Linked DNA regions of Caenorhabditis elegans. The protein of the gene in region 1 interacts with the protein of each later gene in a pairwise test. Each region holds a gene or a part of one and is shown in the gene's direction. Other genes may lie near its edges.

Evidence for each region.
Region 2: the proteins of cyk-3 (region 1) and ruvb-1 interact in a two-hybrid assay, tested with the Caenorhabditis elegans proteins (one large-scale study listed by BioGRID).

Annotation. Positions count from the first base shown.
Region 1 is NC_003281.10:6,018,013-6,025,291, forward strand, and holds cyk-3 (Ubiquitin carboxyl-terminal hydrolase cyk-3), read left to right. Parts: upstream 1-2,146; 5' UTR 2,147-2,199; coding exon 2,200-2,272; intron 2,273-2,319; coding exon 2,320-2,390; intron 2,391-2,430; coding exon 2,431-2,584; intron 2,585-2,632; coding exon 2,633-2,749; intron 2,750-2,798; coding exon 2,799-3,035; intron 3,036-3,081; coding exon 3,082-3,346; intron 3,347-3,392; coding exon 3,393-3,555; intron 3,556-3,601; coding exon 3,602-4,205; intron 4,206-4,320; coding exon 4,321-4,571; intron 4,572-4,618; coding exon 4,619-5,021; intron 5,022-5,065; coding exon 5,066-5,949; intron 5,950-5,996; coding exon 5,997-6,146; intron 6,147-6,195; coding exon 6,196-6,288; intron 6,289-6,335; coding exon 6,336-6,407; 3' UTR 6,408-6,647; downstream 6,648-7,279. Other genes in the region: npp-10 (Nuclear pore complex protein Nup98), read right to left, coding at 1-251, 297-523, 570-1,025, 1,074-1,274, 1,323-1,536; tbx-7 (Putative T-box protein 7), read right to left, coding at 7,078-7,279. UniProt on the Caenorhabditis elegans protein: Ubiquitin-protein hydrolase which cleaves ubiquitin from ubiquitinated proteins. Plays a role in embryo osmoregulation.
Region 2 is NC_003283.11:9,977,996-9,982,769, reverse strand, and holds ruvb-1 (RuvB-like 1), read left to right. Parts: upstream 1-1,967; 5' UTR 1,968-2,073; coding exon 2,074-2,139; intron 2,140-2,186; coding exon 2,187-2,282; intron 2,283-2,359; coding exon 2,360-3,071; intron 3,072-3,128; coding exon 3,129-3,586; intron 3,587-3,635; coding exon 3,636-3,734; 3' UTR 3,735-3,979; downstream 3,980-4,774. Other genes in the region: tofu-1 (Schlafen-like protein 1), read right to left, coding at 95-650, 705-1,029, 1,082-1,286, 1,334-1,369. UniProt on the Caenorhabditis elegans protein: Possesses single-stranded DNA-stimulated ATPase and ATP dependent DNA helicase (3' to 5') activity suggesting a role in nuclear processes such as recombination and transcription.

The DNA of each region.
Region 1 (7,279 bases):
CCTGTTCCAGTATTCGTCGTATTTCCGAACAAACCACCTGGCTTTGCTGCATTGTTTCCAAACAATCCACCTCCGGTATTTGTGGAACCGAAGGCATTTGTAGTTGTTGGCTGAGTGGCTCCAAATGTGAAGCCGGTACTTGTTGCAGGCTTCGCACCAAATAACGAACTGCCAGTATTGGCTGTCGAAGTATTTCCGAAGAGACTTCCACCGGTGTTTGCAGCAGCCGGCTGACCGAAAGCATTTGTCGCCTGAAAATTAATAAAATATTGAAATTCTAGGATATCTTAACTCACCGCTGGGGCACCTCCGAAACTGAATCCACTCGATTGTTGCTGTGGTTGTTGCTGAGCTTGGCCGAAGAGTCCGGTACCAGTCGTCCCCGTGTTGCCGAACAGGGACCCAGATTGATTTTGATTCTGTGTATTCCCGAACAACGATCCACCAGTATTCGTCTGTGGTTGTTGATTGCCGAAAAGAGACGATCCAGTTGTCTGACCGAATGTTGAAGCTCCTGTTGTAGCTAAGTTTAAGGTTAAAAATTGTGTTGATGCTAGATTTATTCTTACCTGTAGATCCGAACAGTGACGAGCCCGCTGGTTTAGCTCCGAAAAGAGATCCACTTGCAGCAGACGTGTTGGCGTTGTTGTTACCGAACAATGAACTTCCAGTGTTTGCTGTGCTCGTGTTCCCACCAAATGGAGATGACGTCGAAGCTCCCCCGAACAGAGAAGTCTTCTGTTGAGCATTACTTGATCCAAAAAGCCCACTGCTTCCAGCTTGGTTTGTTGTGTTGGATGCTCCAAAAAGCCCACCGCCAGTGGAAGTCGTTCCTGTTCCGGGAGCCTTTCTATTTGCAATGTAATCCTCCACTCGGAGCTCTTCAATACTCTTTCCATCGTACTTCGACATTGCAGAAATGCACATGTGCTTCGTGGAAATTGTCTGAGTTGTCCCATTTCTCATCATAGTATCAGAACTGATCGGTGGCTCAAACTTAACAGTGGTTCCAGATACGGTCGATGCTGAAGCTGATACAAGATTAATTTATTTATCGAAAATCAATTGTTTACCTCCAAAGAGACCTCCACCAGATGGTGCATTATTATTGGAACCAAAAATGCTGCTGGTTCCAGTATTGTTAGCGTTGTTACCGAATAGGGAACTGCTTGCGGGAGCTGCTGAAGAAGTTGACCCAAAGATACTTCTGTTGGCATTGTTCTGCCCTCCACCGAACAATGAACTCTGGTTGTTCTGAGGCTGCTGCGGACTTCCTAAAATATTAAAATAAATCAAACGCATACAATTATTGATCAAAATACCGAATATGCTGGAAGTGTTGCTGGCCGCTCCGAAGATTGATCCTGCCGGCTTGTTCTGTGCCGCCCCGAAAAGGCCAGTAGTTCCACTGTTATTGGCTGGCTGACCAAACAATCCTTTGTTTTGATTGTTCTGGTTGTTTTGTCCAAATAGACCGCTCCCAGAGCTGCCACCGCCAAAACTCGATGAGCCGAATGATTTGTTCTGGCCGAACATTTAGCTGAAACTTGCAATTGATGAGACGGTTATAGATGAAGCGATGAGCAAGTAATAATTTGCAGTGAATGAAAGGCGGTTGTCATGAACATTCTGCTAAGAGCTGTCACAAGTTTTCATACAACCAAAAAGATAGCATTTACTTGAAAATGTACTTTAGGATTTCCAAATCGGAATTACTCTACACTCAAATTGCACGCTAATGCGACTAGACGGACATTGATTGATTGATCAGGTTACAGGTACATATTTATGACTGAAAATGTGCAAGAATAACACAAAAAATGGGAGAACAACTTCTACAACCAAACTCGAGATGAAAAAATGAGCGAAATGATTTCGAATGCAAAAATTTTTTCGAAGTGATTCTGAAATCGCAACAGAGCGAGTTTGCATTATACACCCTGCGTCTCTTAAGTTCACACACTGTCTCACTGCGCGAGGGTTTTTGACAGTTCTCGACAAGTCTTTTATTTTTTCCCGCAATTCGTGTTTTTTCGTGGGGTTTATTGGAATAAACTGTTTTCCATAATCGTTCTAAAGTCGGTCTCCACTGAAAAACTTTTACAAATGCTTTTCTTTTCAAATAAATTGATTTTTACATTTTTTCTTTCAGATTCGGCAAGAAAATCTGGTTCAGATGCTCAAATGCCATAATCCGAAATGGGTAACACGTTAACTGGACGTTCGAACGCTATCGCACCGATTATCAGTGCGGAAGATGCTAAAACTTATAGTGAGTTTCAGGGATGTTACAAAACAAACATAAACTCAAATTTTTAGTATCGGACGAGGAGTATCGACGAATTCGCCAAGCTTTCCAACGCTTCAAAAATGGATGCATTAATTATGACGTAACTGTTTTTAATTATTTTTTTAACTTCACCATTTAAGGAATTCTGCTATCATGTTCTCGGAGGCGCGCAGATACCAGAAGAAAAACGACGCCTGCTGTTCAGCTTCTTCTCTCATGGCGCTGAAACCATTTCCTTTGACAATTTGCTTTCATCTCTTGTTGGATTGTGTAGAGTAGAAGAAGTACAATCGAGTCAGTCAAGAAACATTTCAGAAATAATATTAAATTATTTATTTTCAGGGTTTATCGAAGAATATCACGAGTTCGCGTCATGGGGATTGAGTCCTCCTAAGCTTACGATTCCGCTCAATGATTCCTATATCTCATTTTACGAAGTGATGTCTTATGTGACGCATTGTAAGATTTAAATTATCTTGATTTCCGTATTTCAAAAACCATTTTTCAGTATCCGTGAACGAGGTTATCGAGTTAGAGAAAGTGTTCGCCACGATCAGTGATCGAGCTGTCTGCAAACTGAATGAAGAGAAGTGGAAACAAGCATTGGGTGGATGCTTCCCGGATAGTTATGCTGAGAGATTATTCGCTGTTTTCGATGAGAATCGAGATGGTCAAATTGACTTCAGAGAGCTCGTTTGTACACTTTCGGCTCTTTGTCGTGGACCTCTACCAGGGAGAATTTCTCGTGAGTTTTTAAGAAATTATTTTGAGAAACTAAAAAGTTGTTTTAGAGTTGGCACGAATCTGGGACGTCGACTGTGACAAACTTCTGTCTGACGAAGAACTTTCTAACATGTACAAAGATCTTAATGTCCCAGAAGAACATCAGACTGTCACAAAATCATCGAATGGGAAATCTGCTCTCGTTGATTTTGGAATATGGGCACAGGAAAACGAAAAATATGTCAATGAATATTATTCTATGGCTCTTCAAATCGGACACATTTGTCTCGGATTGAGACCAGAGTCACGGAAAATGGAATTACAAATTGTGAAGTTAGTGTAGCTTTCAATTCTCAGTTTAAATAACTTTGAATTTCAGCGAATTTGAAAAACGTGCCTCTGAGCTTCCACTTTCCGAGTGGAACATTGTAGCTTCAGGATGGCATGCTGAGCTCAGATCCTTCCTGGAAGCAGATAAAAATCCGAATCCAATCGATAATTCTGGTATCAAGGGAACAAGAGAAGATAGCTGGACCAGCAAGGTTTGACTTTCTAGTCCGGAAAAGTAAAGAATTAATTAATTTTCAGGTTGCTTGCATTTCAGCTGAATCAGCTCGTCTGAAACCCGATCTTATTCCATCTGACTACATCCGAGTGCCTGTTCCACTTTGGAGAGCATGGCTCCGATGGCACGGATGTGCACTGACAGTAGATTCACAATTCACAAGAAAGTATCTGGATGGTGAATTCTTTGAAGACAACAAGCCCGCTCTTGAACTGTATCCACTCGAAATTCTCCTTCTGGGCCATGATCGTAAGAAGAGCCAGGATGGTACAGAAAACACTCCAAGATCCTTGACATCCTGGGCGTGTGCTCAAGTATCACGAAGTATGACTGTGGATGAGCTTCTCGCGCTGTGCAAGACAGAACTTCGACTCGGAGATGGAGACGCAAGGCTTTGGCAAGTTGTGAAGGAGAATGAAGAAGGAAATGTACTTTTGGACGATGGAGCACAAAATCTACATCAATTATACTCGTCACTAGGGAAAACGAAAAAAGTGAATAAAATGAAGCTTTTACTGGAAGTACGAGAAAGAGGAACAGGAGTGTGGCCAGAAGAATTACGAGCATCTCTTTCCGGGAAACAAATCACTGCTGCTTCTACTTTATCCTCGAATGCACAATTGTCAGGTAAATCTTTTATTCGACTTTATTAAAAGCACATAAATAGTTTATGTTTTTTTTCTCAAAAAACAAAAAAATCGCAATTATCAAAAAGCTCTCATTGTCAATCAATTCCCATAAGATTCTTCAGGTCGCCCAGGAGCAGTTGGTCTTGTTAACTACGGTAACTTCTGTTACCGTAACGCCGGAATCCAGTGTCTTGCGAGAGTTTCCCCACTCACTCAATATTTTTTGGATGAGGATAATTTGGATGCTATCAAAAGAGGGAACTTGAGGCGAGGAGATGCGGCAGAGACGACAATTGAGTATGCGAAACTGCTCAGAGAAATGTGGGCAGCGAAGAAGAAAAATATTGCTCCGAATGATTTTAATGTGAGTTTTGTTATTATAAGTTGAAAATGAATTATTCAAATTTATAGGATGCTATTCGATTGAGCTCGGATATGTTTGAATGTAGTGAGCAGCATGATTGTCAAGAATTTGTAGCATTCTTGCTGGATCAGCTTCACACTTCAATGTATGAATCTAACAAAAGTCTTCATCCATCTCCCGAAGAATCTGAAGGAACCGATTCAAATAAATTGTCGGATTCAAGCAAAAAGAAAGAAGCTGATAAAGAAGAAGCTGATGAAGAAAAAGCTGAAAGATCATGGACGGAGTACGAAAAACAAAATGAGTCACTCGTTACACAGCTCTTCACTGGCCAACTCCGTTCCCGCCTAATTTGCCGAACTTGTCAATCGAGCTCGAGTGTCTTCGAGCCATTCACATCGTTGTCGTTGCCAATTGGATTTGAAGATGTTGATTTGTATCAAGTTATTGGTAAGAATAACACAATTTGGTTCACCAAAATATGGAAATTTCAGTTGTACATAGAGACGGGCGAATCCCGCGTCGCTATGGTTTCCGATTGTCACGTGACTCGAAGGTTGGAAATCTCCGGGAAGTGGTTGCCGTATCAAGTGGAATCTCGATGTCACATCTAACGATTCAGTGTATGTCCAGTAAAGGAACGCTTATGAGCCGATCCCCAAATCATCGAAGTTCAAACTTACGCGATGAGCTGCCGCTGAGTTCATTCCCTTCTGGAGCAAGACTTTACGCTTTAGAGCTACCAGAAAGTACAGGTGAAGATCAGTGGCGAGTTGCGATGCATAGGAAGCTTCAGTATAACCATGAACCTTACATTCTTGGTTCAACTGCCGGATTCATAGTATCTCGTTTTGGACTTCCTTTGATCGTTGGATTGGACGAAGAAGTAACTGGAAAGAAATTATACGAAGATGTAATGTATCAAATGCATCGATTTATGGAACACTCTGTGAATTCCTCCTCGAGTAGAGCTCATGATCCATGTGAAGATGAGAATTCAGGATATCCATTCACTTTATGTTTGGTTGATCCGAATTATGAATGGTGTGGGCAATGCCCGGCTCTCCGATTCTGCAGAGGATGTCCAATCCGTCCAGATGAGAGCAAAGTATTCATTCCTGCCAACTGTCCGATTGCAGTGGATTGGCTTCCAATCGCTCTCTACCTTCGATACAATCACTCGCAGGAGCAAGCATGTGAAGATGATCCTTCAGTTGCCGAAACTTGGTCAAGGCACTTTGCTCCAAGCTCATTGGAGCACTGCATTGAGAAGTTCTCATGCCCTGAGACACTTGACGCAGCAATTCAATGTGACCGTTGTGAGAAGAAGACGATGAGAGACAAAGTGATGACTATTTGGAAGCTTCCGAAGTACTTGGTGAGTGGCTATGGCGCAATTTTTATTTAAAATTATTAAAATTTCAGATAATTCATCTCAAACGGTTCGAATTTCTCCGCGAACAAGGTCGAATGGGAAAGTGCAAAAGAACGGTGAATTTCCCGTTGAAGCACTTCGATCCAGCTCCATTTGTTGACAAGCCCGACGGAAATACATATGAATGCATCGCACTCGCTGTAAGAAACTTATACAAACTTAAATTTCTTCAAAAATTTATGTTTTAAGAATCACTATGGACAACTATCCTGTGGACATTTCATAGCCTATGCAAAGAGCAATGAGGACAAATGGCTTCTGTTGAATGACTGTTCGGTTCGAGTAAGTTCAAGGTTTTTATTATAATCAATTAGTGGAAAAAATTTCAGGAAGTATCTGAAGAAGAAGTTGACAAACAAGGCGCATATCTTCTGTTCTACGAGAGAAAAGATGTCAAATAATAAATAAATCTCCATTTGCTACAAAACTTTAAGCTCAAACTACCTGGCCATCTATCTAAGAATTCTAATGACAAATATCGCTTGATTCTATTCGCTTTCTGGTTGTTATTCTTCAAATGTTTACTGTAAATATTTATTTATTTCAATTTATGTGCTAGTCACCTTTTCCCGTACAGTTTCCATAATTTTCCAATGCTTCACTTCTTTCTACTACCGGATGAACTTTTTTTAATTGTTGTGTGTTATGTACTTCTCCCTTCTTCGTTATATCTTCAGAAATTTCGGTCTTTTTCTCAATTCCAGAGAAAAGGTGGCGCAATAGTTTGGGTGTGATTTAATTTGCCAGTCGATTCACGGAAACTTCGAAAAAAAATCGTTGCAAGAAAAAAATTGCAAGATGCTAAACTTTCGATTATAAAAACTGCACTGAAAACTTTAATCTGAAGCTTTTGGGTTACTGTAGTTGACTCTGTAGTGTCTGGATTTTAACAAATAAGAAATCGTTTAATTGTGTGGATCCTGTAGAAAGAATCGTAATTTTGCATTAAAAAATGTATTGCTTGAAACATTGGAAATTCTGAGTGGTTATCACCCGTTAATACACAGAAATATTAGAAAAAAACAGAAAATTATAGGAATTGAGATCAATAGAATAAATAAAAGCAAAATTTCAAGAACTTCCTAACAAATCAACAACTCCAAATCCACTTTTTCTCTCCGAAGAAGATTTTTGATTAGTGATAGGAATTTGAACTATTGTTGATAAAAGTGCTTCCTGCCACTGAGAAATCAACTGAAGAGACATTTGTGGTACTTTTGGATCAGAAAACATAACAGCTTCTATTTCAGATTTTGTTCTTTTAACTTCTGGT
Region 2 (4,774 bases), on another chromosome or scaffold:
AATCAGAAATTGGTACAAAACTTCATGATACAGATATAATGGAGGCGATATTAAGCGAAACAACGAACAAAACAAAAACAGAAGATTAACAACTTCAAACAGATGATTCTAAACGATAGACTTGATTACGGAGTTGTTTCACTCGAATGACAATCAGAAACGTCTCATCCATTTCTTCAACTGGAACGAAGTTCATGTCAACTACGTCGAGAATATTCTCAATTGGAGGTGCAAACTCGGTTTGAACAGCAGTATCCAGAGCAAGACGCAGATTATCTTGTTGACCAGGACCCATGTGGCATCCAGTAACTTTTCCGTCTTTCCCAATACCAAAGAGAACCACGGCGAGACGCTTTGAATTCAATGCATCACGGATTATCTGTTGGATGTCATGTGTCTCCATCAAGTTAATTTCATCCGCACTTCGAATATGAACATCCGTGAATTTGGTTCTGAATTCAATTTTGGCTCCAGCCTTGACAGTTGTTGTCAACTTTCCCAGTGTGATCAATTCTTTCAATGTCTTGTCTTTCTCGTATGCCATGGATACACATGAATCGATCCAGCGTTGATCGTGACGAGCAAATTCGAAACGAGGTGGACGAGACATGATTCCGTTGCGAACGTTGAAGCTGGTTCCATACACATTTCTGGAAGGATGAAGAGTTGAAATAGAAAATATTCAGAAAAGCTTCAAGACCTACTTTTTGGAAGCAAAATCTGGAATATCTTCTACTGATACGGCATGCTCTTCTTCGGTGATGTACTGCATATACTTCTTAAGTGAAGACATGTCGAAAGCATCCTTATTTTTGCATTTCGCATCAGAAGCTTGAGTTTCTGCAGAGGAAGAACTAACAGCTCCAACACTAATACCACTGTCCACATCCTCTAACTCGCTGCGATCGATGATATCAGGTTCAACTGAAGAGTCCAAGTCTTCGAAGAGTCCTTCAATTCGAGAATTCATCTGATCTCCTGCCAATGCTTTTCCAAGAAGAGCATCAAGAAGTGATTCCTCCACTTCGGCTGGAAAATATTTTGTTACAGAAAAAGAGCAAAAAACTATAAAACTGCTCACCTTGACCATCGTGAAGCTCGACAATTACTTCATTTTCGGAAGGGATGTCCACTTCTTCAGAGGATAATTCGTCATCTTCAAGTTCATCCACATTTTCAAGCTCATCATCGTCTTCAAACTCATCGTCGTTTTCAAATTCATCCTCGTTTTCATTTTCTTCGATTTCACTCAAAAAGCCGCTAAAATCTTCTTCATTTTCGGAATCCTAAAATTCTTGAATTATACTTTATTCTTGTTAATCCAGAAACTCACCGAATAAGAATCATTCTCTTCAAAAAGCGCAGCCATTGTTCCAAAAATAACTGAGACAGAATATTCGATTTCGAAGGATTGTCGAGGGAGCAGGATTTGGGACAAATTCCAGATAATTGTCTCAAAGTTGTGCTACCGTACTTTAAAGGTACATTGCTATTTTACATTAACAGGTTCCCGAATGGAATGCCATTTTTAATTTCTTGGGATCTCTATTGGTGATTATACAACTTTCGCAAATTCATTTTATTTAGAAAAGTTACTCTCGGCTTATATTTGACATTTACTTCAAATAAGAATATTATCTCTTTTTCCTCTTTCCCTTCCATTGAGACCCGAAGAACTCGGGGGATGTCCAACTGGGGGGATTACCAACTCGGGGGATTGGCCCCGCCCACAGAACCGTGGCTTGCAATACGCCCATTTCTGCAACTGCCGCACGGTTTTAAAATTATTTTTTCTTGTTAATTCTCGCTCTATTGAGAAAAATACAGTTTTAAAACCGTGCGGCAGTTGCAGAAATGGGCGTAATGCAAGCCACGGTTCTGTGGGCGGGGCCAATCCCCCGAGTTGGTAATCCCCCCAGTTGGACATCCCCCGAGTTCTTCGGGTCTCCTTCCATTGCTGTTTGTCTGCATTTGTGCGTAAAATGAGATGGCTGCACACATTTTCGAATTTTATTTTCTTTCCCTAAATTTCTATTTTTCATTCTATTTTCACGCTGACGCTTTCGTAAAATAATGGATATGGAAGTCGATGAGGCAATATCTGGTACTTCTTCTTCAAGACTTGCACCAATCGAAGAAGTGAGCTAATTTTTGAAAAACCTAGTATTTTAAATCGAATTTTTCAGGTAAAACCAACTCCAAAGCAAATTAAACGCATTGCGGCTCACAGTCACGTCAAGGGACTCGGAATTGACACAGAAACACAAGAAGCTCACTATGAGGTTTCTTTTTCAATTGTCCAATTTCAATAACTACTTATGAAATAAAGCCTATGCTAAATAAAATATTATTTCTACAGGCTGCTGGATTCGTTGGCCAAGCACCCGCCAGAACAGCTGCATCAATTGTAGTTGATATGATTCGATTGAAGTGTATGGCCGGACGAGCTGTATTGATTGCTGGACCACCCGCCACTGGAAAAACTGCAATCGCGCTTGCAATGTCACAGGAGTTGGGTGACGGCGTTCCATTTGTGCCACTTGTTGCAAGCGAGGTCTTTTCCAATGAAGTAAAGAAAACGGAAGTGCTCATGAGAAGTTTCAGAAGAGCTATTGGTCTGCGTGTTAAGGAAACCAAAGATGTGTACGAGGGAGAAGTTACAGAGTTGAGCCCCGTCGAAGCTTCAGATAATTCCGGAATGGGAAAAACCATCTCTCATCTTGTCCTTTCTTTGAAAACAGCAAAAGGAAGCAAGCAACTGAAATTGGATCCAAGCATCTATGACTCGATTTTGAAGCAACGAGTAGAAGTTGGTGATGTCATCTATATTGAAGCGAACTCAGGAATCGTTAAACGAGTTGGACGGTGTGATGTATATGCATCTGAGTTTGACCTCGAGGCTGACGAGTTTGTGCCAATGCCGAAAGGAGATGTTAGAAAGTCTAAAGATATTGTTCAAAACGTGTCTTTGCATGATCTGGATATCGCAAATGCCCGTCCACAAGGACGTCAAGGAGATGTTAGTAACATTGTTTCACAGCTGATGACTCCAAAGAAAACTGAAGTTACTGGTGAGTGATTGATAAACATTAAAACTCGAACCTTTCAATTTTTATTCTGTCTTTTAGATCGTCTTCGTTCTGAAATCAACAAAGTAGTCAACGAATACATTGAAAGTGGAGTGGCTGAACTAATGCCTGGTGTTCTTTTCATCGACGAGGTTCATATGCTTGACGTAGAATGTTTTACCTATCTCTATCGCGCGCTCGAGTCCCCAATGGCACCCGTCGTGGTTTTTGCAACTAACCGTGGAACCACAACAGTTCGTGGACTCGGCGATAAGGCACCACATGGAATTCCTCCAGAAATGCTCGATCGGCTGATGATTATTCCAACGATGAAGTATAACGAAGAAGACATCCGGAAGATTCTCGTTCATCGTACCGAAGCTGAAAATGTTCAATTCGAAGAAAAAGCATTTGATCTTCTAAGTAAAGTTGGAGCTGAAAAATCATTGAGATATGCGTTACAATTGATTGCTCCAGCTCGTCTTTGTGCTCAAACGTGTGGAAGAGAGGTCATTGAAGTAAGTTGCAGAATGTTGTAGTTCATGTATTAAATAAATCGCTATTCAGGTAGAGGACGTGGACCGTTGTACCAAATTGTTCATGGATCGTGGGGAGTCGTTGAAAAAGGCCGAAGAAGAGATGCGACAACCTAAAAATAAGAAGTGATATCCATTCATATCCGCACAACGACTCGGTTTTCCAATTTTGATTTTTCGCCAATTCATTTCTTGTTTTTTAAAATTATTTTTCTTCTTCTACAACTTATCTCATTCCTCTCGATCTTTCCTCAGTTGTTTCCCCACATGTTGAGGATCTTGTTATTTCGTTCCGATAGATCCCCCATTTTGCCCAATTTGTTGTTCGATTCCTATTTTTATACTGTTCCTAAAAAGAAAAAAAACGGTTTCAAGAATTGTTCGTAATGTTCACCAAAGCGGAAGGAGTGCATAGTGCACAGAATCGACAAAGAGGGACCCCGGCAATTCGTAATACGTCTTCTCCACGTCCCTGACGCCGCGGCATTTCCCTTCTTTTTCTCCCGTTTCTCTATCGATTCTGACAGAGCACATAGTCCTCAGCAGTCGTCGTTTCGCTTATTCCTCGCTCTATTCGCCTCCTCTTTGAGAAAACGAAGAAGAAGGGGGAAAGAAAACGAGGACGAAAGGAGAAGACAAACGTCTTCTGGGAGAGCTTTTGCTTGGAGCCCCCCGAGCACAAGAAGTAGACTCGTATGCTCATTTTTGCAAACTTTCTGTGTTTATGTCTCGTTCTCTTTTTTGTTATAGACTTATTAGCAATTTTTATAGACACATTCAGAATATGGAAGTATGGAGTTTTTCAGTTTTCCCATCATTAATTATTAGTAAGGGTGCAAAACAGGGGTGTGCGGCAAATTTGCCGAATTTGCCGAATTTGCCGTTTGCCGAGCTCGGCAAATTTGCCGAATTTGCCGAGCACGGCAAATTTCAAAAAAGTAGATTTGCCGAATTTGCCGAGCTCGGCAAATTTTGAGATTTGCCGCACACCCCTGGTGCAAAAGTACTCGAACCAATAACTTTTCATATGCTAAAAGAGCTTCTAAATTCCACCTGTTTTTTGAATATTCCTTCAAAAACTGCAACATTGACTTACGTTACACATGCTTATATCTTTCAGGCTAAAGATTAAGTAGAAGATTAGAACATATCAGCTTTTGATTATATGAC